Linked DNA regions of Stegostoma tigrinum. The protein of the gene in region 1 interacts with the protein of each later gene in a pairwise test. Links are inferred from orthologs where the notes say so. Each region holds a gene or a part of one and is shown on either strand. Other genes may lie near its edges. The genes, in order: very-long-chain enoyl-CoA reductase-like and hacd2.

Region 1 (15,736 bases):
GCCATCTATCCTATTATAACTTCATGTAGTTTGGTGTCGAGGAACACCATCACCTTCAAGTTCCCCTCCAAGCCACTCACCGTTCTGACTTGGAAATATATCGCTGTTCCTTCACTGTCACTGGGTCAAAATCCTGGAATTCCCTCCCTAATAGCATTGTGGTTTAACCCACAGCAGGAGGACTGCAGCTGTTCAAGAAGGCAGCTCACCACCATCTTGTCAAGGGCAACTAGGTATGCTGGCCGGCCAGTGATGCCCACATCTCACGAATGAATAGAAAAAAATCTTTTGTTTGACAACTCTATTGTGAAATCCCTTGGGGTGTCTCACCTTCTTAAAGATGCATTTTGAATACAATAAGTTATTATCATTTGTTGATTACACAACTACAGCCCCGATTCAATTCTAATGTTATAAAGTAAACTCGCACTTGAGAAGTAGGTCAATTATCGGCATTACTGACATTAATATAAGCTGACATTTGCATGTTCTCATTAGAGAATTTCCTATACATCATCATTTGAATGGACCCTTGAGGAAGAATGTTTAGTTATTATTTTGTGTTTGTAATATATGGCGTGATCTAAATATATCACTCAGGATAACACCTTTTTTTACAGTCTTCTATACTTTTAAAAGGAGGTCCATAAGACCATAACATATGGCAGATGTAGGCCATGCTGCCCAACAAGTCATCTCCACCATTTAATGAAATCATTGCTGATTCTCAATTCCACTTTCTTGCATTATCCTCAATACACTTGATTCCCTTAATGATTAGAAATCTGTCTCTCTCAGCCTTGAAATACATCAGAACCCAGCCATATGGTGCCGTGGCCTTGCCTTGGAATAGAAGTTCAAGTCCCATCCCACAGTTTGATTGCCAAGAAAGGCGTGTTCATAGCATAACCAATTGATATAAAATTGCAAATCCTTCCAACTCACAACAGTAGCAGGCAATGAAAGTGGGTGCGATTGATGGACAACTATGAGTTGGAGTGAAAATCGGAGGCAACCATCACTGTTGTAGCTCCACACTATAATCTGCATGTTGCCACAGTAACTTAGACTCTGTGAGTTATTTATTACACACCATCACAGTTTTAAAAATATAATAATGTAATTGTATTATTTGAAAATAATTCAGTTTATTTCATTTGATAAACAAATGCTCAAATGAAATTATGCAAAATACCGCAATAAAATTTAATAAATCTGTATGTTGCAGTTTCATGAAAATTAATTGTTGTGCTGTCATAACTTGGTTAGTTACTTCCTTTCGCACATTGGATCAGTTTCTATTTGTTGTCATGCGTGGAGCAGAGGATGTGTGCAGGTGCAGAGGGAAGTGATGACCTAGTGGTATTATTACTGGACTGTTAACCCAGAGACCTAGATGATGTTCTGGGGACGTGGGTTTGAATCCTGATATGGCAGATGGTAGAATTTGAATTCAATAAATATCTGGAATTAAGAATCTAATGATGACCATGAATCCATTATCAATTGTTGAGGAAAAACCCATCTGGGTCACGAATGTCCTTTGGCGGAGGAAACTGCCATCCTTACCTGGTCTGGCTTTCATGTGACTCCAGATCCACAGAAATGTGGTTGACTCTGAACTGCCCTCTTGGGCAATGAGGGATCAGCAATAAATACTGCCTGGCCAGCAATGCCCACATCCCATAAATGAATTTTAAAAAAATTCCAGACGCTTCCAAAGTTATTCACAATTAAAATTATTGGATGGAATAAGGAAGCATCAACTGTAAACATTCAACCTGTCATGATTAACTCACACAAATGTACAATGATTTCAATACAACAAAGCGTCAGGGGAGACGGTGGGGGGGTTAAATCCTTTTAACAACAGATTTATTAAATTTTATTGCAGTATTTTGCATAATTTCATTTAAGCATTTGTCTGTTTATCAAATGGAATAAACTGAATTATCTTCAAATAATACAATTACATTATTATATTTTTAAACTGTGATGCTGTGTAATAAATAACTCAGAGTTCTAAGTTACTGTGGCAACATGCAGATTGTAGTGTGGAGCTACAACAGTGATGGTTGCCTCCAATTTTCTCTCCATCGGGTGTGGTGGTAATGTCATTGGATGGGATCCATGAAATATCAGGCTAGTGTTCCAACCCACAGCATATGTACTGTCGGGGTTCAAGAAGCAGTTCATCACCACCTTCCCAAGGGCAACAAAGACAGGCAATTAAATCTGCCCAGCCAGCGATACCCATGTCCCATGAGTGAATAAAATAAACATTAATATTGGAACCATTGTTAATGTAAAGATCAGTCTCAAAGTAGGAGTATGAGCTAACTACTGTCCCATATTTATATCCCTATTGTGCAGATACATTGTAAAGTGGCTGCATTGTAAAAGGAAGAGGAACGGGAACTATTCCACTTCTCCACAGTTCAATAGTGACCTTTTATATATGGCACATGTTTGGGCTGATAATTTCATGAATGTGCATAATACTGTCACTGTTGTTAAAATAGTATCAGAGATAATGGGAACTGCAGATGCTGGAGAATTCCAAGATAATAAAATGTGAGGCTGGATGAACACAGCAGGCCAAGCAGCATCTCAGGAGCACAAAAGCTTTTGTGCTCCTGAGATGCTGCTTGGCCTGCTGTGTTCATCCAGCCTCACATTTTATTATACTGTCACTGTAGTAGTTTAAACACATGATGATATTAACAAATGGCACCTGGCAGCACATTTACCAACCACATGAAGACCCAGTTAAAAACATATATTTTTCTGTCTCCCTAAACAAACAGCAGTCTGATTTTAATGTGTATTGTATCGCCTGCAGCTGAAAAGGGAGACAAAGGAAAAAAGGATGAAAGAAAGAGAGAAATAAAGGAGAAAAAGAAAGAGAGAAAAACAGCAAGAGAGGGAGAAAGAAGGAAAGAAAGACTTATAATTGTGATCAGAGATAATGGGAACTGCAGATGCTGGAGAATCCAAGATAACAAAGTGTGGAGCTGGATGAACACTGCAGGCCAAGCAGCATCTTAGGAGCACAAAAGCTGTGTTCATCCAGCTACACACTTTGTTATCTAAGAAAGACTTATAAAGTGTTTTTCATGAGCATCATATACCTTTTAGTGTATTAAGCCAAATGAGTCTTTAAAAGTATTGCTGAAACAAACAATTTGTTAAAGCTTTTGGTCTTACCCTCATTGGGATAATTCACAAGAAACCCCAAAGTAAAGGAAAAATAACGTTGATCTTGACTGTGAACAATGAACAAGAGAATGGTCATCACTTATTTTGTAATTGAAACAGGTGGTAGTGTTCACTTCTCAAAGCAATGCCATGGTTGATCAGAAGCATTGATCTCCCTCTCTTGTTGTTCTTCTCTCTTTCTTTTACTCCTTCTTTATCTCCTTTATTTCTCTCTTTCTTTCATCCTTTTTTCCTTTGTCTCCCTTTTCAGCTGCAGGCGATACAATACACATTAAAATCAGACTGCTGTTTGTTCAGGGAGACAGAAGAATATATGTTTTTAACTGGGTCTTCGTGTGGTCGGTAAATGTGCTGCCAGGTGCCATTTGCTAATATCATCATGTGTTTAAACTACTACAGTGACAGTATTATGCACATTCATGAATTTATCAGCCCAAACATGTGCCATATATAAAAGGTCACTATTGAACTGTGGAGAAGTGGAATAGTTTCCGTTCCTCTTCCTTTTACAGTGCAGCCACTTTACAATGTATCTGCCTTATTTAAAATTTAAACAAAGCTTGACAGTTTTCTGCCAGTCATCATTAACTGGTGCATTTTCCATGGTAACACCTGAATGAATCAGAGTCCATCTGCCAACCAATCAGCACTCTCCTCTTGGCAGTATGAATGTCATTTTCCCTTTACTTTGGTATTTGCAATGAATTGTAATGATGATTGTAATGAAAATATTTTCAGTAGTACTCAAGTTCTTTACTATCAAAAGATTAGTTTTGAAGTGAAGTAATTATTGTAATGCAGGAAGTACGCCAGCTCATATCTAAGGAGGTGATGGCCTTGTGAGATTAGTACTGGAGTGTTAATCTAGAGACACAGCTAATGTTCTGGGATCTGGGTTCAAATCTTGCCATGGTAAATGATGGAATTTAAATTAAATTTTAAAAAATGTGAAATTATGAGTCTAATGATGACTGTGAATCTATTGCTGATTGTCAGGAAAAACCTATTTAGTTTATTAACGTTCTTCAGGGAAGGAAATTTGTTGCCCTTATCTGGCCTGGCCAACTTGTGGCTCCACATCCACAGCAATGTGCTTGATGCTTAACTGCCCTCTGGGCAATTAGGGATGGCACTAAATGCTGGCCTAGCTAGTGATGCCCACGTCCCATGAATGAATAAAAAAATGCATGCAGCAAAGACCCATAAGCTTCAATGTGATAATGACCAAATAATCTGTTTTTGCAATGTTGCTTGAGGGTCAAAGTTAGTCTGGAGACTGGGAACAACTGAGATCACAAGATGTAGAGCTGGATGAACACAGCAGGCCAAGCAGCATCTTAAGAACAGGAAGGCTGACATTTCGGGCCTAGACCCTTCATCAGAAATGGAGGAGGGGGAGAGGGTTCTGAAATAAATAGGGAGAGAGGGGGAGGCGGATTGAAGATGGATAGAGGAGAAGATAGGTGGAGAGGAGACAGACAAGTTAAAGAAGTGGGGATGGAGACAGTAGAGGTGAGTAGAGGTGGGGAGGGGCTAGGTCAGTCCGGGGAGGACAGACAGGTCAAGGGGGTGGGATTAGGTTAGTAGGTAGGAAATGGGGGTGGGGCTTGAGGTGGGAGGAGGGGATAGGTAAGAGGAAGAACATGTTAGGGAGGTGGGGACGAGCTGGGATGGTTTTGGGATGCAGTAGGGGGAGGGGAGATTTTGAAGCTTGTGAAATCTACATTGGTACCATTGGGCTGCAGGATTCCTAAGCGGAATATGAGTTGCTGTTTCTGCAACCTTCGGGTGGCATCATTGTGGCACTGCAGGAGGCCCATGATGGACAGCATTTGCAGTTCCTATTATCACTGGGAACAACTGCTCTGCTCAACTTAAAAATATTGCCATGGGTTCTTTGACATCTACCTGAGCTAGCAGAAAGGAATATCCTTCAATATCTCACCTAAAATGATGACATCTTCACCAAAGCAGCATTCCTTCAGTACTGCACAGGAGTGTCACCCTTGATCTTTGTGCTCGAGCACTTTTACATTCAGAAACTTTCATAAGAACTGAGGTTTGAAGCCAGTAAAAGGAGTATGAATAGCATAAGAGCAAATGGGAGGGTCCAGTTATGGTGGGTGATAGGACAGATTAAATGACAAAGGAGCTGGTGGTGCAAGACCAAGCCTTGTTTTAATTTTCTGGATGGCAGTTGTTCACCTGCTGCTAGTCACACCTCCTGTAGACCAATGTTGACAAACAGACTCACCATTCATTGCATTGCCAGTTGGCTACAGACATGTGATGAATTGATGCTGTTCATTTTTTTGAGCAGCGATAAAGTTACAGAAGTGGTTGAGAGTATGGGCGCGCCTAGTTAGAAGGATATTTCCCATCTGACTTCAATTGAGCAAGGAGGAATTAACCATCTTGCTGTTAGTACTACGAAAGTACTGTCTCCAACAACATAACAATGTAACCATTGCACCTTGACACTCAAGGACGTTACCGTCACTCAATCCACCCAGTGGTGTTACCGTAAATCAGTATCCACTGTGATGGAACATTCCTTACTTGCCTGTATGACTGTGGCTCCAATGATACTCTAGAAGCTTAACAAGACTAGGACAAAGTGGCTTGCCTGATTGGGTGTGGATGTGGTGCCATTCACTTACTTTACCCAGATGCTCAGTAGCAGCAGAGTGTACCACCCACGAGATGTACTGCAGAATTCCACAAAGGCTCCCTAGACAGCACCTTCCAAGCCGATGACCATTTCCACCCAGAAGGACAAGGGCAGCAAATGTATGGGAACGCCACCACCTGCAAGACACTTACCATCCTGACTTGGAAATACATTGTCATTCCTTCAATGTTCCTCAGGCAAAATCCTGAAACTCCGTCCCCAGTGGTATTGAGGGTGAACATATCCTAAATGGAGTGCAGCAGCCCAAGAAGGCAGCTCACCACCACCTTCTCAAGAGCAACTAGAAATGGGAAACAAATTTGGCCTAGCTGGCGATGCCCACATCCCATGAATATATAAAAAGACACGATTAAATCATAAATCAGTTCCACTGCAATTGTTATACCATAGTTTAGTTATTGGTTTCTAGTGACTGAAACCCTTTGAGGTGCCATTTGCTCAGTAAAACAAGAAAATGTTTGTTTTAGTTGAATAAAAATCTTGCTGTTTGTGATCTTCTGTGTTTCTATGTTCCTTGGGTGTCGCTAAATAATGGTATCAATGGGGAACTAGCCGCTGTGAGCTCACACAATTTTGGGAAATCCAGAACAATGAGGAATTTAGCTGCTCAACTTAAAAATATTGCCATGGGCGTGGATTACAAACCCTCATGAAAGCTGATCTCTCCTGGCTCTGGCAGTGGGTGTGTTGGGGGCTTGGTTAGCTCAGTTAGTTGATCTGTGACTCAAGTAATACCAACAGTGTGGGTTCAATTCCTGCATCAGTTGAAGTAGCCATAAAGGACTTCCTTTCCGCTCTATCCCCTCACCTGAGGCATGGCAACCCTCAGGTTAAACAACAGCCAGTCATGACTCTGTAATGAGAGAGCGAGCCTAGTCCTCGCACTGATGTGAGAACTAGGGCCACGGCAATTTTAACTGTATTGAGTGTAGAAGATTGAAAACATCAAAACTAATGTTAAAATATTTCACATTGATTTCTCTAATCTTGCCTTTCTGTCTCAGATGGTGAATACCACACCAGTTATAATCTCTTCCAACCTGTTCTGCCAAGTGGAAGCTACAAAAGCTGAAACACACTTACCAACCACCAGGTTCAAGAACAGCTTCTCCCTCACGGTTATTAAACACCTGAACAGACCTCTCAAATTTCAAATCTAAAGTTGATCTTGTTTAATGTGCACTTTCTTTGCAGACATAACTATGCATTCCTCCTCTGATTGCGTATTGTCTTTGTATGGTTCGGTCTGCCTATACTGTGTGCAAAACAAAACTTTTCACTGTCCCTAGGTACATGTGACAATAATAAGTCAAATTAGAATCAAAAAGGTGACTGAATCTTCAGAAATTTAGAAAGCATTGGTCAATATCGCCACTGCAGACTTATCAGCTGTCTCTTACACAATTCCAGTTGGCATAATAGTACCAACCTTTTGTCATTTATTCTCTCGGGATCACAAGAACTTCCCTTTGGCTCTTCAACCTCTCAATCTCCCACTTTTCACTTCAAGCTTGTTACAAACTCTAACCTTAACCATGTTCTGAGGAAGAGTCCCAAACCAGGCACATGGTTTCTCCGTGATAACAAAATGTGAGGCTGGATGAACACAGCAGGCCAAGCAGCATCTCAGGAGCACAAAAGCTGACGTTTCGGGCCTAGACCCTTCATCAGAGAGAGGGGGATGGGGGGAGGGAACTGGAATAAATAGGGAGAGAGGGGGAGGCGGACCGAAGATGGAGAGTAAAGAAGATAGGTGGAGAGGGTGTAAGTGGGGAGGTAGGGAGGGGATAGGTCAGTCCAGGGAAGACGGACAGGTCAAGGAGTTTCTCCGTCCAGTGATGCTGCCAGACCTGCTGAGTATCTGCAGTACGTTCAGCTCCTTTGCTCTAGTTGCAGAACACGGCGGTTTGAGAACGAAGGTTCCCCCTGGGAGAAAAACGACGAGGTGAATTTTGAACTTTCAACACGATCCTGTGAAATGTCACTCGAATACAATCGAGTGGTGACCGCTCGGATCCCAGTAAGGGATAAGTTTCCCGTGCAAACGCCACTATCCAGAGACAGGACGGGTTGGAATGGAGAGCAAATCGACCCCTTGGAGCTACACAGCTGCTGTTCGAACTCACCAGTGGCAACAACCGTGCGAATCGCTTGTCCCTGGGTGTGGAGCAATGGGAATCGAAGACCGGCGCTAAATTCCCGTGGAGTCATTGAGACCGTGGTGTGTGTGTATGTGGGATGGGGGGAGGTGCTCCCATTCTTGGTCACATTTCATTCTTAGCTCCACCCTTGGATAGAGTTTCCCAGAGCCCAAAGGGGAGATGGCTGAGCGTCCGTTTCGCTGCCAAACAGGTCTAGCTTTGCTGATCCTCTGAGCTGCTCCTGAGATCTGCACAGCGTGCACTCGGAGGGGAGTCCGGGTGTTTACCCTCGGTATGAGTCCTGCAGCCATGAGCCGGGCCACTTTCTTCGAGGTAACAGGGTTAACCGCTAAGGTAGTAAGAGACCTGCACCAGAGAATCTTTGCTTAGAACCATTTAAACATCTATTGCTGAGGAATCGGTCTTCACTGTGTAGTTGAAAGTAATGTACGTCTTGGTGCTCAACCAGACCCAAGTTAGAATTGTTTGCTGCTATATTGAATGACAAAGGCGTGCGAAAAGTCAAAATAAAGTGAGCCACAGCATTTTATATCTGTTTGGAGCGTGCTCAATGTTGTGCTCATTCAGAAAGTGCAATTGCTCGTGTTATTAATTGGTGTCAATATTTGTGTAAGTGTGGATGCAGTAATTCTGGTTCTTCCGCAGTTACCCATCGTGAATTGCACTGAAAACTGTTGTGATGTGAAAGGGGCTGTTACTTCGGACGGTGGGTTTTAGGTTGTGTTGTTAACTGGAGTGATGCACTCGTGGCCGATGTGCAGACATACTCGCTCACGCCAAGGGCATTCATTGGTTTTTCTTTGCACCATGAGATTCCCAGAAAATTGGATTTGGGGCGAGGGAAGCAGCATTACAGCGAAAGAATTGGGAGCAGGAGATAGGCATTCGCCCCCCCCCCGCCTCTTCGTCATTCAATAAGATCATGGTTCGACTAATTATAACCTCAAATCCCCTTTCCTGCCATTCTCCAAGAATCATGGTTCGACTAATTATAACCTCAAATCCCCTTTCCTGCCATTCTCCAAGAATCATGGTTCGACTAATTATAACCTCAAATCCCCTTTCCTGCCATTCTCCAAGGCCTTCCACTCCCCTGTAGCTCCAAAGTCTGCTAACTTATCCTTAAATATATTCATTGAATGGGTTTCATATTCAGCAACTTCCATTGCTTTTTAGGGGTAGAGAATTCCAAAATATCATCACCTTCTGAGTGAAATCTGAAGTAGATGTACCCCTATTTTCTGCAAGTTCCTCAATTTTCCCTTGGTCCTAGATTCCCCATGAGGGGTAATATCCCCTTAACATATATTCTGTCAAACCCCATCAGAACCTTCTTTGGTCCTGTTGAATTGAATCATAAAACGGTTTCAGCAGAGTAGGAGGCCATTTGACTCATCACATGTGTCATCACTCTGGAAGTGCAATTCACCCATTGCACCTCCTTCATGGCACTGTACATTCCTTCACTTTGAATAACAATCCACATTGGCAGGTAGTGCATCCCAAATCCTAATCACTTGCTGCTTAAGGTACTTAGAATCGTAGTCGTAGAAGTCTACAACACAGAGAAAGTCCCATTGTGTCCGTACCTGTCTAAAACAACCACCTAATTATTCTAATCTTGGCCCATAAACTCATATATTCCTTGGTATTGCACATCTCGGTACTTCTGAAATGTTATGGAGATTTCTGCCTTGACTGCCCTTGTAGGCAGCGAGTTCGAGATTCCCACCACTGTCTGGATGAAAACGTTTTCCCTAGCATCCCGTCTAAACGTTCTGCTCCTCTTGTTCCTCAAGTTGCCTTTGGTTCTTTTGCCATTCGCTCTAAATTGGTTCATGACCCTTCTATGAGGAAGAAGTTTCTCCCCATCAGCTCTGTCCAGACCCCACATGATTTTGAAATTCTCCAGCAAATTTTCTCTGCTCCAATTTCTTTAGGAGGACAACAACCCAAACTTCCCAATCCATCTTGTAGCTGAGGTTCCTCATTCCTGGAGCCATCTCCTGGATCTTTTTTGTATCTATTGACTGCTTTCACATCTTTCCATGTCAAAGTGTGATGCTTAGAACTGGTCACAATACATAAGTTCAGGCTGACCCAGGATTTTAAACAGGCTTATCACTCTTCTTTATTTTTGGACTCTAAACCATTATTTGTGCAGCCCAGGATTCTGTTTATTTCATCAACTGACTTATGCACATATCATCACAGGGGTCTCTGCCCAACACCTCCTTTAGAATTGTATCTTCTATCAAAATGAATCATTTCAGCTATCACTACTCATTTTTCTAAATTCCATTGATTATAGGCCCAACTTCTTCAATTTTAACTCAAGACAATCCATTCATTCCACGAATCTGTGAAAGTTCTATGAACTGCCACCAATGCAAATGAAACCCCCCCTTTAAAGAAGGAGACCAAAATTGTACTCAGGATTGCATTTTAACTGTCAGCAAAACATTCAAGATTGAATTACAGTGTATGACTCTCATTTGGACTTTAGACAAAATATAAAATTAATTCCAATTGCTATCTCGCATATCCTAATTTTACAAGTTAAATTTGTATGTTTTTGTAAAATATACTGATGGGTGTGCATTTTTGGGAGTTACATAAGTTGGGAGGGGATGGCTCAGTGGCATTATCACTAAACCTATTAATCCAGAGACCCAGAAAATGTTCTGGATGCCTGGGTTCAAATCTTGCCCTGGAAGATAGTGGAATTTAAACTCAACTAAAATCTGGATGATCACGAAAATGATTGATTAAATATGGGGTAAAATCCTGTCATCAGTTCACTAATGTCCTTTTAGGGAAGGAAACTGTCATTCCTACCTCGCCTGGCCTATATGAGACACAAGAATCTCTGGGCAATGAATGCTGGCCTTACCAGCAATACCCACACCCTGTGAATACACTTTAAAAAAGACATTTAATGACACTGGTGGATTGTAGAATTGATAGCTTATAAGTTTATAATAATTCACTTGGTGAACAAATCTAAAACTGTCTCAAGTTGGATTTTGAGTCTTTTTCTTCACAACATGTAAAATGTTTAACACCTTTGTCCTAAAACAAACAATTTGTCATAGATAAGTGAAAACAAAAAAAATTGAAAATCATAGCATGTCAGGCAGTACCCGTGGAGAGACAGCAAACTAACTTTTCAAATCCAGATGACTCTTCATTAGATCAATTAGATAATCTATATTCTTCCATAATTTATGAAAACATCAATGAAATCACTCCTTAACCTACCAAGCAAGCAGACCAGGAATATAAATGTTTCTTCTTGTACTTTAACATTACAAAATGAATCCAAGAATCATTCTTTTCTTTTTAGGCCAAAGCAGGTGAACTGACATTTTCCTAAATTAAAATTCACAATATAGAGATATTTTCTTTTTTATTTCATGGGATTTGGACATCACTGACATAGACCCTATTTACTGCCCAATCCTAAGTTCCCTTGAACTGGTGACTTGCTAGGCTATTTCAGTGGGCAGTTAAGAATCAATGATATTCCTGTGGATCTGGAGTCACATGTAGGCCAGAATAGATGAGATGGCAGTTTTCCTTCCCTGAAGGGATTGCAGTAATGATGACTGTGAAACTAGCTTTCAATTCCAGATTTTATCCATTAATGTAAACCCCAAAAGTTGGCGTGGTGGAATTTGAACCCATGTCTTCAGAACTTTAACCCAGGCCTCTGGATTATTAGTCCAGTAAAATTTCTATCAGGCCATTATCTTCCCTACTGAGCTGTCTCTATATTGCCTTCTAAAGTAGGCACAGCATCTGCCCCATCCCTGGTCTCCATTCTGGCTGCTCCAATGATGGAGAGAACTGTCTCCTGTATTGGTGTGAGGACATACAACCATGCCTGGCCCTTCAGGTGTTGCTGCCTCCGGTTTTATAGGACATTTTTCTGTTTGAGTGAGGCAGAGAAAAGTCTGCCAATCAGTTTGCAATGTGCTTGGATGATGTATCTAACATAAAGGAATATATATCACTGTGGACAAACTAAAACACGTGAGTTGCAGCTGTACTGAGTGCATGAGGATGACGTGATGCTGCAACTGAGAGGTGTGAGTTATGCTTGATAGAGAACGTCAGTAAATGAGTGAAGGGGGTATTCTGAATGGAACATTGCATGAGGATAATAATTCATTCACTAACCTTAACCACTCATGAGTCATTAAACTTTTTCCTGTGGTGTGCTCAGGTTCTTGGCACCAGAATACTGGCATTGAATGCAACAGCAAGCCGCTCTCACTGTCTTCTCAGTGTCTGTCAGGACAGTTTTCCTTGTTCCTTGAGGAAGAGGGCCTCGCCTGTGCAAAAGTCTCTATGACTGTGTTGCAAAACCTTGGAGCATGGTTTCCACTGTGTTCCCCCATTTAGAACATTGAACAAAAGAGCCCTTCAGCCCACTATGTCTGTGCTGATCATGATATCATTCTATGCTAATCCCATCTTCCTGCACGTGGTCCACATCGCCCTACTCTCTGCCTGTGTCTGTCTAAATGCCTCTTAAATGTTGCTAACGTATCTGCTTCTATCACCTCCCCAGCAACACATTCTAGGCAGCTACCACTCTGTGTGTAAAAATGTTTTCCTTGCACATCTCCTGTAAATGTCTCCCCTCTTCCTGGTATTTGACATTTCCACTCTAGGAAAAAGACCTTGACTATCCTCGTTATCCATGCCTCTCATGATTTTACGTACTTCTGTCAAGTTACTCCTCAGCCTCCAATGTGGTAGCCAAAACAATCCAAGTCTGTCCGACCTCTCTTTATAGCTAATACATTCCAACTAAAGCTCCACCTTTCTCTCGAGAGGACTGGTGTATGAACAGCCATAGGACGTTGGTGAGACCCCATCTGGATGATATAAGAACACATGCACAGAGGTGCGCCATTCAGTCTATTGAGTGTTTTCCCCATTCAATACAATCATAGCTGAATATAAGCACCTGTTACCCACAAAATCCTCATAACCCTTACATTATTGATGATCACAAATTTATCAACCTTGACCATAAATGTATTCTTGAGTTTTAACAGCCCTCTGAAGTAGACTATTCCAAATGAGTCACCTTCTCAGTAAAATCAGTAATTCTCCTCATTTTGGCTCTAAATGGCTTCCCTATTATTTTGAAATTGTGGTCCCTGGTTCTAAAAGACTCCCCAAACAGGGGAATATCTTAATTGCATTTGCCCTGTTTTTCCCTTTGATTATTTTATAGGTTTCAATGAGATCACCTCTCATTCTTCAAAACTCTAGAGAACCAGACTCCGATTAGCCAATCTCTCCTCTGAGGACAATAGCACCACCCTGAGAACCAGCCTGGCGAATGTGCATTTCACTCTCCATGGCAATAATGAGCCAGCTTTTCCAGGCAGTCCTTACTCCAACAGAGATGAAAATTCTGCACGAAGACCCTGCAGAATCCTCATTGTAGCACACTCTGAAGGAAAGTGTGGGAAATTCCTGGGCAATTCCTCAATGCCTGGAACCCTCTTAAAAAAATCTCCCTAAAAGTCAGAAACTTTGAAAGGTTCAGATGAAATGAAGTAAAATAGTTACTCAGAAACAATAAGCTTGTTAATTACAAAACTAGAGCGTATAATTTTAAGGTGAGAGGATACAGATTTAAACAGGAACTAAGGGGCAGCTTTTTCACACAATTGGTTGTTCGAATGTGGAATGAACTGCCAGAGGAAGTGGGAAATGCTGATGCAGTTACAACATTGAAAAGATATTTGAACAGGTACCTGACTAAGTAAGGTTTATAAGGATGTGGGCCAAATGCAGGCAAATGGGCCTAGTTTAGTTTGGGAAACTTGGCTGGCATGGATGAGTTGGACTGAAGAGTCAGTTCTGTTCTGTGTGACTCCATGGCTCTACGTAGCTTAACTGCTGATGACCTATTTAAGAGACTCCATACTTATCTCACACCCCTCCCTAGACCCTTAACACATCCCCCCACTCCTAACCCTAACCCAAATTGGATCCTGACACCTGTATTCCCCAGCAACAAACTCAGGGACCTTAACAACCCCTGCCCTCCCCCACTCCATCACCAAAATCAGGGAACCCAATAAACTCATGTGGACCCTGATAACCCCACCAACCCTGGATCCAACACTTGCCACTTCAGGACCTGATGCCTCTCCCCAGTTCCCAACACAGTTCCTCTCCCCACTCCTTTACTAGACTCCACTTTCCCCAACCCCTGCCACTGTGGTTCGAGCTGACCTTGCGTCAACCCTCTCCCCACCTGGCACCACATCCACTTGGCACTACACCCTGCCAGCACCCTAACATCACCATGACATTGCGGCTGACAGGACCTTTAAATTTCAGACTGTGGCTGTTGACTGCTGAGAAAAGGAGATGTGGTTTACTACCCCTGTGCTACAAAAAGAATCGTCACAAAGGAAAGATTCTTCCACATTTCTGGAATCTCCTCTCGGAAATGCAGGACTCCCTTTTCTCATTTAAATAAGGGCAGAGTGTTGTCACTCTCCAAAAATCTGGCCTAAGTATATCAAATGATTTGTTTATTTTGGTCATGTTGGATAGGATTTGGGATGGAGAGAAGGGATGAAAGGATATAGAGGCTAGGGCTGGGAATGGCCTTCAGTGGCAGCACCCTTGACCCTGAAGGTCCCCAGATTGGAACAAATGAAGCTCTCTCCACAACCCAGTGGTTGAGTTGAGCCAGTTTTCCAGGTGGGTGACCAGTCACTTGCCTCACCTGTCAGGAAGATAGATTACTGGCCAGACAGTGAGTGGATCCCATCAAAATGGCTGTAAATTGAGCATTTTTGGGCCATAATTGGTAGCAATTTAAGAGGGTCTCCATGGACTTCTCATCCAGAACTTAATTATTGAGGAAGCAAGAAGGGGTCAAGTTTCTCCCTGAGGCCAACTCCCTTAAATTATTTCCTCTTCTCACCAGCATGCTCACTAACTCCAAGAGTGGAGTGCAGATTTACAAGAATGATTCTGTTGCTTAAAAAGTGTTAAATTTTGCAAACTATTAATACAAGTTTGTATTCCTTTGAGTGTGTCAGACTAAACGATGACTCACTGAAGGATTAGTGATGAATGGATTTATAGAGTAGATGAGGAGAAGCTACTTTCTTTGGGTAGGACAGTCAAGAACAAGGAGGCATAAGCTTCACATTAGACCCCCACTGTTCAGGGGTGGTGTCAGAAAGCACTTCTTGATCCAAAATGTGATGGAAATGGTCAGGAATCTAATTTAAGGCACAGCAGATATAGGGGCAACTATGAGAAGGAGGCAGTCAATATAGGACTGTGGGTGTTGTACTTAAATGAACACAATATAGGAAACAAGGTAAGTGAGCTTGTAGACCACATTGAAATTGGCAGAAACAATGTTGTGGGTATCACAGAGACATGGCTGCATGGGGATCAGGGCTAGGAACTAAGTATCCAAGGATACACAGGCAGATGGGCAGAGGGGTGGTGTTACCTTGTTAGGAAGAAATGAAATCACATCTCTAGAAAGAAGTGGCATGGAGTTAGAAGGTGTAGAATCTGTGTGGATAGAGTTGAGGGAACCACAAATAAAGAAAGACCTGATGAGAGTTGTGTACAGGCCTCCTAGCAGCAGTCAAGATGTGGG
Region 2 (15,273 bases), on another chromosome or scaffold:
GTACAAGAAGTTTACTAATGCCATTTCTGTGTTTGATAAGGCAGGTAAACAGCATTGGTTTGGCCATTTTAGGAATAGTGCATGCAATTCTGGTCTAGAGAAAACAAGGTGTGGAGCCGGATGAGCACAGCAGGCCAAGCAGCATCTTAGGAGCAGGAAAGCTGACGTTTCAGGCCTAGACCCTTCATCAGAAATGGGCAAGGGGAAGAGGGTTCTGAAATAAATAGGAAGAGAGTGGGTGGCAGATCGAAGATGGATAGAGGAGGAGAAGATAGGTGGAGAGGCAACAGACAAGTTAAAGAGGCAGGGATGGAGCCAGTAAAGGTGAGTGTAGGTGGGAAGGTAGGGAGGAGACAGGTCAGTCCAGGGAGGACGGACAGGTCAAGGGGGTGGGATGAGATGAATAGGTAGGAAATGGGGTTGTGGCTTCACGTGGGAGGAAGGGATAGGTGGGAGGAAGAATAGGGACGAATTGCTGGTCTCCCTGCTTTAGGAAGGATGCTGTGAAACTTGCAAGGATTCAGAAAAGATTTACAAGAATGTTGCTATGGTTGGCCGGTTTGAGAGGCTGAATAGGCTGGGGTTACTTTCCCTGGAGTGTCAAGGATGAGAGGTTACCTTACAAAAGGTTTATAAAATCATGGCAGGGATGTGGATAGGATAAATAGACAAGGTCTTTTCCCCAGGGTGCATGAGTCCAAAACTAGAGGGCATAGGTTTAAGGTGAGAGGGCAAAGATTTAAAAGAGATCTAACAAGTAATGTTTTCACACAGAGGGTGGTGTGTGTACGGAATGAGCTGCCAGAGGAAGTGGCGGAGGCTGGTACGATAACAACATTTAACAGGCATCTGGATGGGTCTATGAATTGAAAGAGATTAGAGGGATATGGGCCACATGCTGGCAAATGAGACTAGATTTATTTAGGATATCTGACCAGCATGGACAAGTTGGATTGAAGTATCAGCTCTATGGCTCTATGATTCTATAACACAGGAACAGCGTCAAACGACGGTTTCTGTACAAAGGACATCTATTGCAAACATGGCTAAGTAGAAATCTGTCGCAAGCACATGCAAATAGATATTGGTGGCAGGGATTAAGACTTTCAGTGAAGAGATTTGGAGAAAAATATGTGAATTAGGAGGAGTGGGTCATTCAGTCTCTCAACCTGGTACACTATTCAATGATCACTTTTCTGCCTGAGGGTATGTTCTGTTCAAGCTCTTCAAATGATGTTATTATGCACCACTGGAACAGATGGGACTTGAACTTTGGCGTCTTGGTTCAGAGGTTGGGATGCTACCACCTCCTTTTTCATTGCCTGCAACACCATAACTCGCAGACCCCATGACCCCTTCATCAATGAAAAATCCATCTAACATAGCCTTGATTAGATTCAATGACCCAGCTTTCACTGATGTCCGAGGTAGAGAATTCCAAACACCAGTAATCATACAAGGACGAGAAATTCCATCTGAGGAATACACTCACTGCCCTGACTTCCTTGTTGCGGGAGGTTGCTTGATGTACTTAGTATACATTAATCGAGCCTTCCATAATTTTAAGATGTTTCATATCTTTTCCGCTTCTGTACGTATGTCCTATTTTATCCTTGGCTGAAAGAGGGACAGAATTGGCAGCTGAACTTCCCAGGATTTTGATGTTTCAGGTGTGATAGAAAGGGAGAGAAGATGGGTGGGGTGATGCATTACTGTTCGAGGAGTATCGCACAGCTGTACTAAGGGAGGATACATCAGAGGACTTGTGCAGCGAGGCAATATGGGTGGAACTCAGGAACAGGGAAGATGAAGTCACAGTGCTGGGGGTATACTACAGGCCTCAATAGCCAGCAGGTGATAGAAGAGAGAATATGTAGACAGATTTTGGAAAGATGCAAAAACAGCAGGGTTATTGTGATGAGTGATTTTAACTTCCCCTGTATTGACTGGGACTCACTACATGCTAGGTGCTTGGATGGGACAGAATTTGTAAGAACCATTCAGGAGGGATTCTTGACACAGTACGTGAACAGTCCAATAAGGGAAGAGATTATACTAGGCCTGGCTTTGGGAAATGAGCCTGGCCAGGACAGTGAAGTTCACTAGGGAAGCATTCTACGAGTAGTGATCCTAATACCGTGAGCTTTAAGATACTCATTGATAGTGATAATAGCAGTCCTTGGGTGAAGGTGAACTACAGAGATAGTAGGAACTGCAAATGCTGGAGAATCTGAGATAACAAGGTGTGGAGCTGGATGAACACAGCAGGCCAAGCAGCATCAAAGGAGCAGGAGGAGGAGGAGGAGAAGGAGAAGGAAGGCTGGTTAGGCAGGAACTGGAGAATTGTGATTGGAGGCAGCTGTTTCATGGTAAATTTACATCAGGCATGTGGGGATATTTCAAACAGCAGTTGATAAGAGTTCAGGAGAGGCACATTCCTGTGAGAATGAAGGATCGGCATGGCAAATTACATAAACCTTGGTTGACCAGGAATGTTACAACCTTGATCAAAAAGAAAATGGAAGCATATATAAGGTCCAGGAGGATGGAAACTGATGAAGTATACAAGGAAAGTCGGTAAAAACTTAAACAAGGAATTAGAAGGGCTAAAACAGGTCATGAAATGTTGTTAGCAAACAGGATTAAGGAGAATCCCAAGGCTTATTGATAATATATAACAAAAGTAAGAAGGTAGCCAGGGAAAGGGTTGGCCTACTCAAGGGCAAAGGAGACAATCTACGTGTGAGGCGAGAAGAGGTGAGTGAGGTCCTAAATGAATACTGTGTGTCAGTATTCACCAAACAATAGGAATTGGCGGAGGATGATCCCTGGGAAGGTTCTGTCGAGTTTCTAAGCCAGGTTGCTATTAACAAGGTGTTTGGCATCTTAAAAAATATTGAAGTACATAAGTCCCTGGGTCCTGAAGGGATCTAAGCCAGAATATTGAGGGAGGCAAAAGAACAGGTTCAAGGTTCAAGGTTCAAGGCAGGTGGGGGGTTAAAAGGGGTGTGCTAGGCAAGCTTTTCACACAGAGTGGCGAGTGCCTGGAACGCATTGCTAGAGATGGTGATGGAAGCAGAAATAATAGCAGCTTTCAAGTAGTGTCTGGACGAATACATGAATAGGAAAGGAATAGAGAGATACAGACTCTGCAAGTGAAGACAGTTTCAGCAATGGAGGGGCAAATTTGGCAGTGCAGGCTTGGATGGCCGAAGGACTTATTCCTGTGCTGTATCATTCTTTGTTCTTTAAAAGGACCCAAGATCCAAAGAAATCGACATTTACAGATGGGATGCATGTGTGGCTTAACTACTGGCATAGTTTCTTTTAAGCTTAAGACATCAAAATCCAAGATAAAGGAAAAAAGAAAATACAATTAATGGGAGCTTGCAAATGCAGGCCATCTAAAACAATATGCTGTCAAGTTCCATTCCTAGTTCTAGAAGCTGGCCTGGTTTCTCCTCATGGAGTAAATCTAGAATTTGGTTGCACTGTATCAAACAAAGGGACCACTTAAAATACTGAGGGAACATAGAACATACAGGCCCTTCGGCCCACTCTGTGGTGCCAAACTTTTACCCTAATGCTAAATTCTATCTAACCTCCACCCTTACCTTATACTATCATCCATATGCCTCTCTAACAGTCACTTAAATGCCCCTAATGAGGCCGACTCCACTACCCACTCCAGCAATGCATTCCACACCCTAACCACTCTGAGTAAAGAACTTACGTCTCTCCTATATCTACCTCAACTCACTTTAAAACTATGCCCCTCGTAATAGCTACCTCCACCCTAGGAAAAAGTCTCTGGCTGTCCACTCTATCTATACCTCTGATCATTTTGTACATCTCAATCAAGTCACCGCTCATCCTTTGTTGTTCTAAAGAGAAAAGCCCTAACGCTGTCAACCTTTCCTCATAAGACCTTCCCTCCATTCCAGGCAATATCCTGGTAAATCTCCTCTGCACCTTTTCCAACGCCTCCACATCTTTCCTGTAATGAGATGACAGAACTGGACACAATACGCCAGATGTGGCCGAACCAGGCTTTTGTATAGCTGGAGCATAACTTCACGGCACTTGAACTCAGTCCCTGTTAAATGAAAGCTAACACACCATATGCGTTCTTAACAACTCTATCCACCTGGGTGGCAGCTTTCAGGGAACTGTGAACATGAACTCTAAGATCCCTCTGCTCCTCCACGCTTCTGTAACCCTGTATTCTGCTTTCAAGTTTGTCCTTCCAAAATGTATCACCTCACACTTTTTAGGGTTAAACTCCATCTGTCACTAATATCTCCTCTGAGAGGGTTACTTATCTTGGTAATTTTCTACCCAATACAGTGTAGATGCTATCACAGAACACAGTTGAGACCAAGATAGATTTTTGAACCACAGGGCATTTGTGGGTTTTTGGGAGGGGTAATGGCAGAAGTGTCAGACAGGAACATAGAGCTCAGACTAAGATCAGAACAGCCACCATCTTATTGTATAGCAAAGCAAGCTTATAGGGCTGAATGGACTCCTCCTACTTCATATCCAATGCTGTATACTCATCTTGTGCCAAGAGCAGAGGCATTTAAGATGAAAACTAAATACTTGCAGAGTTTTTCCAGCACATTCTGCTTTCATTCCATCTCTAGCGTTTGAAACACAGGAACAGGAGTAGACCATTCAGCCCCTCAAGCTTGTTCCATCATTCAATGAGGTTATAATTGATTTGTAGCCTACCTTCACGTACTCATCTTAGGCCCAAAATCACTTAATATCCTTGCTTAACAAATCTGACATCTGACATAGATAAATTTTAACAACTGATTTAGCATAAATTAATATTTGTGAACGAGAGTTCCAAACCTCTATCACTTTTTCTAACAACTCTTTTTTTATTTGACAGGCTAAGATGAGAACTGATCGAGCCGCTCAAAAGATTTCAGTGGAGCAAATGAGACGCAGCTTTGAGTGACAGAAGGATCAGTTATCAGAACGGTAAAGAGATCAGGTTTTATCCTTGTGAACTTGAAAATTAGGGAACATTTTCTGACGCAACAAGTGGCTGAAAGGGTGCAAATTCAACAGTAATTCTCAAAAACAAACCGACAAATCCTGGGGTTCCAAGAGGACGGTGTTGCAGGATTGTTGGCGGGGGTGGGTGGTCTAAAATCGGGGGGCCTCACGGGAGGAGGGACCGAACGGCCGCCTTGAATGCTGTATCATTCCCTGAGCAACATTTCCTTTCTCCCGGAGACCCTTGGTACTCAACAAGCTGATATAATCAGCTCATTTAGAAGCGTTGTGTCATTTATATAATTAAAAGTGTGTGTTTTTAAAAGCCCGGGGCCGGTTTTAAAATCCCTCAACCCTGACAGGCATAACTTACCGACATCCTGGTCGAAGGGGTTGGTGGCGAAGAAAGGCATAGCTGGGATTACAGTAGGAAAACTTTTTTTAAGTGAGAAATAGCCTTCTGGAGATAGGCCGCCGTCAGGCCTCGGCGTCTCTTCAGCTCGAAGCCCGTAACAGTCGCTCCTTCGCCAGCCCCTGGAACATCCTAACAGCCGAGGCCTCCGACCAAATCTGCCCCTTACGGTCTCAGTTTCTTTCACAACTGAAAGTAGGATAAATATTCTCAGTTTTTCACTCCACCCCTTCTCCGGGAGATGAAATGGCGTCGCAGGAGGAGGTGAAGGGAGTTTGTGATCGGGGGATGTGAAGAAATTATAAAATAAATAATAACTTCACGCTGGTCAGGTGACGCCTCTTTGACCCCGCCCCACTTTCTTCCATTGGAGGCGGTCGTCACTCGGCCCTCCTGTAGTGGGGGGGGGGGTCAGCCAAACTAGGGGGCAGTAAATTGACATGTTCGGGTGGCGCAATTCGCTGTCTGCCCGTCCAGGGGGCAGCATAGGAGGATGACCGTGAGACAGAATTCTCAATTTGCCGGTTTCGTGGGAGCAGCACCGAAGGAGGTATGGTAATTCAGTGGGTAGCCAGCATCATGTACCGATGTCGGGACATTGCAGGGAAGGATACAGGAGGGGAAATTCGCTCAGAGATAATAGGAACTGCAGATGCTGGGGAATCCGAGATAATAAGGTGTAGAGATAACAAAGTGTGGAGCTGGATGAACACAGCAGGCCATGCAGCATCATAGGAGCGGGAAGGATGACGTTTCGGGCCAAGACCCTTCATCAGCAAAAAAAATTCGCTGTCCGCCAGTCCAGAGGGCAGCATCGAGGGAAGAATGTACGAGGGGCAATTTAAGGTCAGCCAAACCAGGGGGCAGCGTGGAGGGGGTGGAACGCAGGAACGGCAATGGAAGGTCGTTCTGGCAGAGGGCAGTATCGGGGAGGACCAAAAAACAAAGTTGCTGGAAAAGCTCAGCAGGTCTGGCATCAGCTGTGGAGGAGCAAATAGAGTTAACGTGAGATAACAAAGTGTGAAGCTGGATGAACACAGCAGGCCAAGCAGCATCTCAGGAGCACAAAAGCTGAAGTTTCGGGCCTAGACCCTTCATCAGAGAGGCTCGAAACGTCAGCTTTTGTGCTCCTGAGATGCTGCTTGGCCTGCCGTGTTCATCCAGCTTCACACTTTGTTATCAGGGAATGCATGAGTGGCATTTCAGGGTCAGCCAATCTTGGGGGCAGTACCGAGGGAGACGTGCGGGAGGCGGGATCGGCAGCCAGCCAATCCTTCAGAAGGGGGTGGGGCCAGGTGGTGGTAAATACTGCGCACGCGCGGCAGTTCAGTGACGGACTGATCACCATGGCGTCGGTCGGGAGTGGGCTTGAACATCAACGTGGGGTTCATGAAGGGCCGCAGAAGAAAAGAAGGGGTCCGGGACCCCTCGCCACTGCTTACATGGTCATCTACAACGTGGTAATGACGGCCGGGTGAGAGCTTACATTTTTAAAGCTGTGTTCCGTACCGATCCCAATTAGCTATCCGGGTCAGGCACTGTTGGCAAATTACCATTTCTTTCCATAAGCGTCTGAAATCCACTGCTATTCTTCAGTGTTGCGTTAATTAACATTATAATAATGCAGTAAGCTCGCTTACTGAAAGCAGTTTGCAAATCGAAAGCAGCAGTCTATTTAACCCCCCCCCCCCCCACCGTGTTCCCTTCTCTTGCAGGATCACTTCCTATTTATGGATGGTTCCTCAGTGAGGGACTACAGTGGTACTGAGAGGGCAAAGATTATTATTTAAAGAAGTTCCTTTTGAAATGAAACATGGGTCGGCTCGTATATCGCAATGGAGGAAGAAATGTATTTTCTTCCCTTCCACCTAAGCCACGTGCATTAGTGAATAAGGACCCCCACCCCCATGTGTAAATTGCTGCCGGAAACCATTGTGATGCGACAGTGGACTTTGTTCTGCTTTTCCGCTCCCATATTACAAAACACAACTGATCTCGTTCTGTCACTACTGTACTCTTCAGATCTTTGGTACAGACTGAGTTTCCTGCTGACCTAAGTCGGCAAGCTTTGTGGGGAATGGTGAAAGCAAACTAGGGGTGTGGTGTGTATTTTTCTAGAGATTGGGAGCAAATGTCTCTTCTCAGTTGGCAGATATCAGCGAGCAAGTTGACTCCCTGTCCTTGGATTGAAACAAACAAATGACTTTTTTCCCCATTCAGCTGTCTGAGAGCTCCCCTGCTGTATATGCCAGAAATGGTATTTTATGTTCCTCGAGGGAGATAGGGATGGTAATGTTCAAGGTTATTAAAAGATGTCTTGATATTTATAGCACTCTCAGTTGAAGCTTTTGTATGCAGTGCAGTAACCTGTAATTATATGCTGATTACACATCAGTGTGAGGAGTGCTTTTTGGAAAGCAACAAGGCAAAAGAGCACTCATTGAACATCCTTGGTATGCATGCCTAAATTCTTGAAGGCAGTAGACTGAGGTAGATAAAGTGCTTTAAAGGCATATGGGATATCAAGGTGAGGCTCATTGGTCTATGGGTATGAGTCTCACTTAAGGTACTGCACAATGGTGACATGCAAGGTTTAATTCCCAAATGAGCTTTCTTGGGGTGGCTCAGTGGTCAGCACTGCTGCCTCACAGCACCCAGAACCCAAGTTCAATTCCACCCTTGGGCGCCTGTGTGGAGTTTGCACAGGTTTCCTTCCACTGTCCAAAGATGTGCAGGTGAGGTGGATTGGCCATGCTAAATTGTCAATAGTGCTCAAGGAATGTGTAACTCGGGTGAGTTATAGGGGGATGGGTCTGAGGGTTGGTGTAGACCTGTTGAGCTGAACGGTATATTTCTGCACTGTAAGGATTCTATGATCTATGTAATGTTTGTTAGGCCTCATCAGTAACAATGCTGTGCAATTCTGGTCACTGCAATATAGGTTAGAATGTGATTGTGAATTTCTTCCACAGCCCCTCTCATGCAATGTGGCCAGGGTTGTACTAATCCAGCTATGAGGGTAACATGGATAGGGTTGGGCTATTTTCTTTGGTGAAGGGAGTGTGGCTTGCAGGATGGAGGGGAGGGTGGTGTGGAGTGTGGAACCTGATTTTGAGGTGTACGTAGTTCTGAGGGGCAAAGGTAGTGTAAATAGGAATATACTTGCCCCTTGGCTAGTAACCAGGGGCACAATTTTAGGGTAAGGACCTGGAGGTTTAGAGGTGATTTGAGAATATTTTTCTCCAAAAGGTTGTAGAGGGTCAAGAACTCACTGCCTACTGTTAGTGGAGGTGGGAACCCTCAAAGCATTTGAGAGCTAGTTAGATAAACACACGAAATGCCATAAGCACACAAAGCTAAGGGATGAGTGCTGGAAAATGGGATGGTTTGACTGGTGTGGACACAATGGGTAAAAGAGCTGCCTCGTGCAGTAAAAACAGGCTGTTTGTCAAACAAACTAAAAAGGCTTTTGAAGGATATGAACACTCTTTACTTAGAAAGCATAAAGGCTTTTATAGGGTATTGGAATCTCTCCTGATTTTTGACATGTAATGACTGTAGGAAACTACAGCAGTCAATTCACATGCAGTAAGTTTCAACAAGCAGTTGCATGGATAAAATCTTCTAGATGTTTCTTGAGGTTAAATATTGAATTGGACACCAATTTTGGGAGGATGGAGGCAATGTAGGAACAAAAAGAGCTGTTTTGCACTTGGGACTGTTTCACCATTAATTGAGATTATGGTTGATCAGTGACCTGAGCTCCACATATCTAAATTTACTCTATATCCCTTGGATTTTTGTCAAGCAATGGTATTTGCAATCTGAATTTAAAAATCCATAACTGAATGTCATATCAGTTGCTGTTTGTGGATGAACTTGCATACCTGTGTAGAAGTTTGTAATTTAAGAGCAGGATTAAGCTATTCAGCCCCTTGAGCCTGCTCCCCTTCCCATTTAACAAGACATGTCTGATCTGATTGTAACTTGTAGTTCACATTACCAGTGGTCCCTGATAACCTTTCCACTCCTCACTTATCAAGAATCCAGACAACTGCCTGAATGTTTAGGGGAGTCTTCTTTCATCTTTGACATGTTTTCCTAATCTGCTAAAATGCATTTTTTGGTAGTTGTATTTCTGTTAATGTTTGATTAGTTTTTTCCTGCCTCTGATTAAAGACACTTCAAAGTGAGTTGGAAGCTTCAGAATGAATTTTATTTTCGTATTAAGCAGACCTGAAATTCAGACTTGATTACCCTCTGCATTTACTCCAGTCTTGCTGACCTCATACATTGTGTCCTCAAATCAGTGTATTTAGGGAAAGTGCCAAGAGAATACTCTTGTCCTAATATCTGTGCCTTCTACCTCAGTTGCTGTGCAGTGTTGGAGAAACAAAGCTGAAAGACAAATGAAAAGTACTGAATATCCCTTTCTGATCTGGAATGGAAACCTAACAAGCACCTGCCAATCTGCTGCCTCTCACAGCAAGAGTAATTGGTCTCTTTGACTTGAAGTTCATAGCAATTGATCTGCAGTCTTAAACATTGAGGCCTAGGGAAGTGATAATGGGAACTGCAGATGCTGGAGAATCCAAGATAACAAAGTGTGGAGCTGGATGAACACAGCAGGCCAAGCAGCATCTCGGGAGCACAAAAGAGGAGCTGCTTGGCCTGCTGTGTTCATTCAGCTCCACAATTTGAGGTCTAGGGAAGCTGTGGCAGCAGAATAATATAGTGGGTATGATGTGGTTGAAGATGTGTTACAGTTAATAATGTCCAAAAAGGCTAATGGAACATTTGTCATTACGTAAATGACCTGAATATCACTGAAAAGAAAGATGTGTTGATGAAAGGTTTAAAATATGATGTTCTTGTGTTTTGTTCTGAGTACAAGACAAAAGCCCTGGACAACCGCACTGAAAAGTGACATTCACACTCTTTTTCACACATTTCATGGGGTTGGGCATGAGAGCCGAGCAGTGTCTTAAATTTCTACTCTGAGCCCATTTCATGTCTTGAAAATTGTCCTGCCACCTCACTTAAAACTTTGGGGGGTGGGGGTGGAGAAAGGCATATGAAAGCAAGCATTAGGAGAGAGAAGTCCAGTGTGAGGGGAGTTGGAACTCACCAGCCGTCATTGTTGCCTTGGAGCCTGGAACTCCAGATGTCGTTTTGTGATTTCTGTGCTCCCGACCACCAGTTTGGAAGTCTGGGATTGAATCCTTGGTATGTGCAGAGCCCTGATTAACCACACTTGGATCACTGATCAGGATATAGCTGTCACTGCCTGGTCCAGCACTTATTTATCATCTAATTGCACTAGTGAAAGCTGCCTTTTTGATCTGTGACGGCCACAGGGATGTAGGTGCACCCTAAGCGCTCTCCAGAAGAGTTTTAGGATTTTGACCTGGTGACGATGAAGCAAGTGTGATACAGTTTGAAGTCAGGATGGTATGGGGCTTTGAGGTGTCCCATGTACCTGCTGCCCTTGTCTTTCTAAGTGGCAGGGGTTGCAGGTGTGGAAGGAGCTGTCCAGGCAATCTTGGGATAAAAGTTAGGAAAAAGCTGCAAATCTTTTGAAGGTGTCAGGGCAAATATATAAGCTAGGAACCAAAATGTCAGAATTGTCAGCTAAGGCATGACTACCATGCACAAACCTTTACAAGTCCCTGGTTAGGTGTCTGGAGCTCTCTTTACAACTCTGGAGGCTGCACTTTTAGGAAGAATTTCCATGTCTTAGGATTCTATGAATTTTAGTGGCATGATGCTAGGGATGAAGCAGCAATTATATGGCTAACTTAAAAAAAACTGATTTCTTCACCTTGGAGTAGCAAAGGTTCTCGTGATGGAAATGAATGGTGGTATTCAGAAAACCTGGCACAGGTATAAAAATCAAAAGAACTGAGCCAGTTCTGTGGAAGGGTCAGTTGATCCAAAGTGTTAACTCTGATTTATCTCCAAAGATGCTGCCAGACCTGAATTTGTCAGCAATTTCTGCTTTTGTTCTGGGTACACTGGTATACCAGGCTGGAATGGCCTGTGTTCTTAGTATTTTTTTAAGATTCCGCATGATCATCTGATCATTAGGGAAAGAAATCTGTCGCCTTTGCCTAACTGTGACTCCAGATCCACAGTAATGAGTGGTTGACTCTTAACCACCCTCTGGAATGGCCAAACAAAATACTCCAATCAAAGTCAATTAGGGATGTTGCTGCAGCACCTGCATCCCATAAGTATAAAGAAAAAGTCATTGGTGTTGAAGCGGGCATGAAACTATTGGGACTGTCGTGAAGGGGAGCTGCAGGTGGTGTGAACGTAACATTTGTGGGAATGGGAACTGTAGCTGAGCAAGTTGGGGTAAGAAAGAGGGATTTGGTGCCATTAGTGGCTGAGTCCTCAGTTTTGCTGCTGAACTGAATGATGTTGCAGTACTGTGACTTAACTGAAATTTTTTTTCCAGATGGTTGGTCATCGCAGTTGGTCTGATCCGAGCTGGCTTGGCGAGGGGTACATACCATGGCCTTTATTACTCCATTGAGAAGCCATTGAAGTTCTTCCAGACGGGAGCATTGTTGGAGGTGGGTAGGACATATGGTCTCCTTTAGGGAGACCTGTTCTGGCTGTGGTCCCCTTTGGCAAAACGCCTTAAACGTTTTTGTGACAATTATTTCATTTGCCATTCTATTACTGTAGAGTTTGCAGGTCAGCAGTTCTGTTGTACCTCCGGTAGTCTCAGCATGGCTTATTACTCAATGGATGTAGCCCTTTGAGCACATCAGCCATCTTGTATGTATATCGTGGAATCAAACTTGGATTGTGTAATGTTTCTGCCCATATTGGGTGGCGCAAGAGCTCTCAATTGCATACCAGTTTTGCTGCTGGGGCTTTGCTGGTTAGCATCTGCCTATGTTATAGTTAATCTACACAGACCACAGGAGGCCCCAGGTATGTAGGTTAACTTCAGCTTGAGTTAGACAAGCTGAGAGAGTCTATTTTAGGCTGGCTAAACAGAACTGACTATCTGAACTGTCTGATACATGCAGAAAGCCATTAACACTTACAGCCCTGTGATCAGATATGCATTTGTCACCTACCTTTTTCATTATGTACAATAAAGAGGTCTTCAGTCCCAGGTCTTAACCTGTCTACAGGAATCTGTTTGCACTCTAGTCTGCTACCAAGGCTGATAAAAGGCCTTGGATCCCTCTCTAGTCACTTCCACTGGCACAAGCCCTTGAAAGTGCTTCTAAGTGGCAGGGGTTGCAGGTGTGGAAGGAGCAGGTGTGGTTTTTCGAGGTTCAGGGCTAAAATGTGCCTTATAGCACTAGCTTGTAAAATGTCATCTTACCCCTATTGTGACCTTTGATTTGAATTCAATCTTGTTTAATTCCCACAACAGCTGCAGTAGGTCAGAAGAGTTGGTGCCGGAGGCCATAAAGCAGATAGATCTGATCAAGTGTCCCAGGACATTGAATAGCTGGGGATGAAGTTGTGGGCCCTCTAGCAGAGATGTTTGTATCATTGACTGACAAGGGTAATGTGCCATAAGACTAGAAGGTGGTTAATGTTGTGCCATTGCTTTAAGAAAGGCTGCAAGAAAAAGCCGGTAAACTACAGACTCATGTGCCTAACATAAATGGAGGTAAGTTGTCAGAGGCGATTCCAAGAGACTACATGCGTTTGGAAAGTCAAGGGTGAATTAATGACAGTCAGTATGCTTGATGCATGGGAAACAATGTCAAATTTGACTGAGATTTATGGGAAAGTGGCCAAGGTAGATGGATGAGAGAACAACATAGATAGGGAAGGGGTTAGGCTTTACAGATTGTGTATATAAAAGCTACTTGAAGGAGCAAGACTCCAAAAGCTGATCTCTTCAAATAAACCTGTTGGACTATGCATTGTATGGTTTAAGGCACTGAGGCCAATTGGGGTTCAGCCATAAATGTTGGCCTTGTCAATGATGTCCACAACCCACAAGTGAATTTTTTAAAAATGGACATGCAAGTACGTAAGGTTGGAATATGCTTGCAGTATTAATGCAACTCCAGTCACCCTCTTTATGCTATTAAATCAGAAAGAGTCCGAAACTGGAAGGTTTGAGTTCTGAGGAGATCATCGAAAGGTTGGGACATTTTCCCTAGAAAGTAGGAGGTTGGGCTTGACCTCCATAGACGTTTATAAAATCACAACAGGAATAGATGATAAGGCAAGTAGACAAGTGTTTTTTTCTTCCCGCAGGGTAGAGGAGTCCAAAACTAGACGGTGTAGGTTTAAGGTGAGGGGAAAGATTTAAAAGGGACCTCGGTCAACCTTTTCACAAAGCAGTGTGTGTTCATGGAATGAGCCACCAGAGGAAAGTGGTAAGGTGGGTACAGTCACAACACTTACAGGACATGGGTAGCAAAGGTTTAGAGGGATATTGGCCAAACACAGGCAAATGGGACTAGTTCAGTTTAGGAAACCTGGTCAATGTGGAGAAGTTGAGCTGAAGGCCTATTTCCATGCTGTTTGCCTCTGACTCAAAGGTGGTTTAGACATCGTGCTTTGAGATGAGCTTTTTGTGATGGGGTTGACTGGCATGCATGGTTGGTTAGTTTAATCTTGAATAGCATGGCTTTGTATATGCTCCACGCTGCCTTCCATCAAAATCGCATTCCTAACATCCTGTTGAACCTTTCTTTTTAACAATTGGTCGGAAAAAGACAAACTTGTATTTCACAAGCACAAGAACCACTTCACCTTGAGTGTGCTCAGTATTCAATTCACTAGTGGCTGATCAGAACGTAGCCTCATCTCTGCTTTTGTTTCCATTCCCATAACTTTTTGAGTCCCTCATGATCAGAAAATTACCTAACTCAGCCTTGAATGAATTTAATGAGTCCACCTTCATTTGTTTTTGGAATTTCCCCTCCAGAAAACAATGACCATTCTTGGAGAACCTTCCCCTCATTTCTGTCTAAATCAATTTTAAAACTCTGATGTTGTGTTTAGTCTTGTCCCCTTTTTAAATTCATTTGCGGGGTGTGGGCCTCACTGGCAAGGCCAGCATTTATTGACCATCCCCAGTCCTCGAGAGGGTGGTGGCAACTCTGCAACATTGAAGGCATAACAATTTATTTCGGTGTCAGGATGGTGAGTGGCTTGAAGGAAAGGCTCCAAGCACTCCTTCCCATGTATCTTCTGCCCTTGTCCTTCGGGATGCAAGTGGTCATGGGTTTAGAAGGTGCTGTTCAGTCTTTGAATTTTATGGCACCTTTCATTTGCCTCATAGCCAATGATGCGTTTTCTGTACTCTTAGTGAACAGATCAGGTAGCATCTGCGAAGGAAGAAAGAATGGTTGATATTTTTAAATTCTGGCCCCTTCATCAGAGCTGAAAAATGTTGTTGATTTTAATATGTTTTATATGAGCACAATTGCAGGGTCACAAAGGTCTGAGTGGGGAAGAGGTGGAAGATTAAAATGGCAACATCTGTAATCTCCAGGCCACACCTACAAACTGAACAGATAAAGGCATTACGGAGCAGCAGAAGACATTTGGTCCAGCAAGCCTACGGCAGAATAATCCAGTCAGTGGCTTCTGAATTGTTTTCTGTTAGTAATAGTTGTTGAGCAGGAAACATCACAGTCCAATTTGTGCTCACTGAGGCCATAACTGAGGAAATTGATCATATGATTTGGGGATGAAGTATGTTCAGAATGGGAAGACCTGTGGGTTTGGTGGAATCTGAAGACATGAACCAAGTTAAGGTATCACCTCAATGATATATCATCAAAGCAAAATCAGTGAAGGTAGCCACCTTCATAATTTGGTTGAATTTTGCCTTCAGTTTGAAGGAAAGAAGTGTG

Evidence for each region.
Region 2: the proteins of very-long-chain enoyl-CoA reductase-like (region 1) and hacd2 interact in binary tests that used the Homo sapiens proteins (3 or more experiments, as listed by UniProt). The link is inferred for Stegostoma tigrinum from reciprocal best matches to the Homo sapiens genes TECR and HACD2.

Annotation. Positions count from the first base shown.
Region 1 is NC_081361.1:84,868,364-84,884,099, reverse strand, and holds the start of very-long-chain enoyl-CoA reductase-like, read left to right. Parts: upstream 1-7,881; 5' UTR 7,882-7,889; coding exon 7,890-8,132; intron 8,133-8,227; exon of another isoform or gene 8,228-8,346; coding exon of another isoform or gene 8,347-8,385; intron 8,386-15,736. UniProt on the Homo sapiens protein: Involved in both the production of very long-chain fatty acids for sphingolipid synthesis and the degradation of the sphingosine moiety in sphingolipids through the sphingosine 1-phosphate metabolic pathway.
Region 2 is NC_081360.1:97,865,310-97,880,582, reverse strand, and holds the start of hacd2 (very-long-chain (3R)-3-hydroxyacyl-CoA dehydratase 2), read left to right. Parts: upstream 1-6,743; 5' UTR 6,744-6,768; coding exon 6,769-6,896; intron 6,897-11,882; coding exon 11,883-12,000; intron 12,001-15,273. Other genes in the region: stam2 (signal transducing adapter molecule 2), read right to left, coding at 5,384-5,423. UniProt on the Homo sapiens protein: Catalyzes the third of the very long-chain fatty acids (VLCFA) elongation four-step cycle (condensation, reduction, dehydration, and reduction).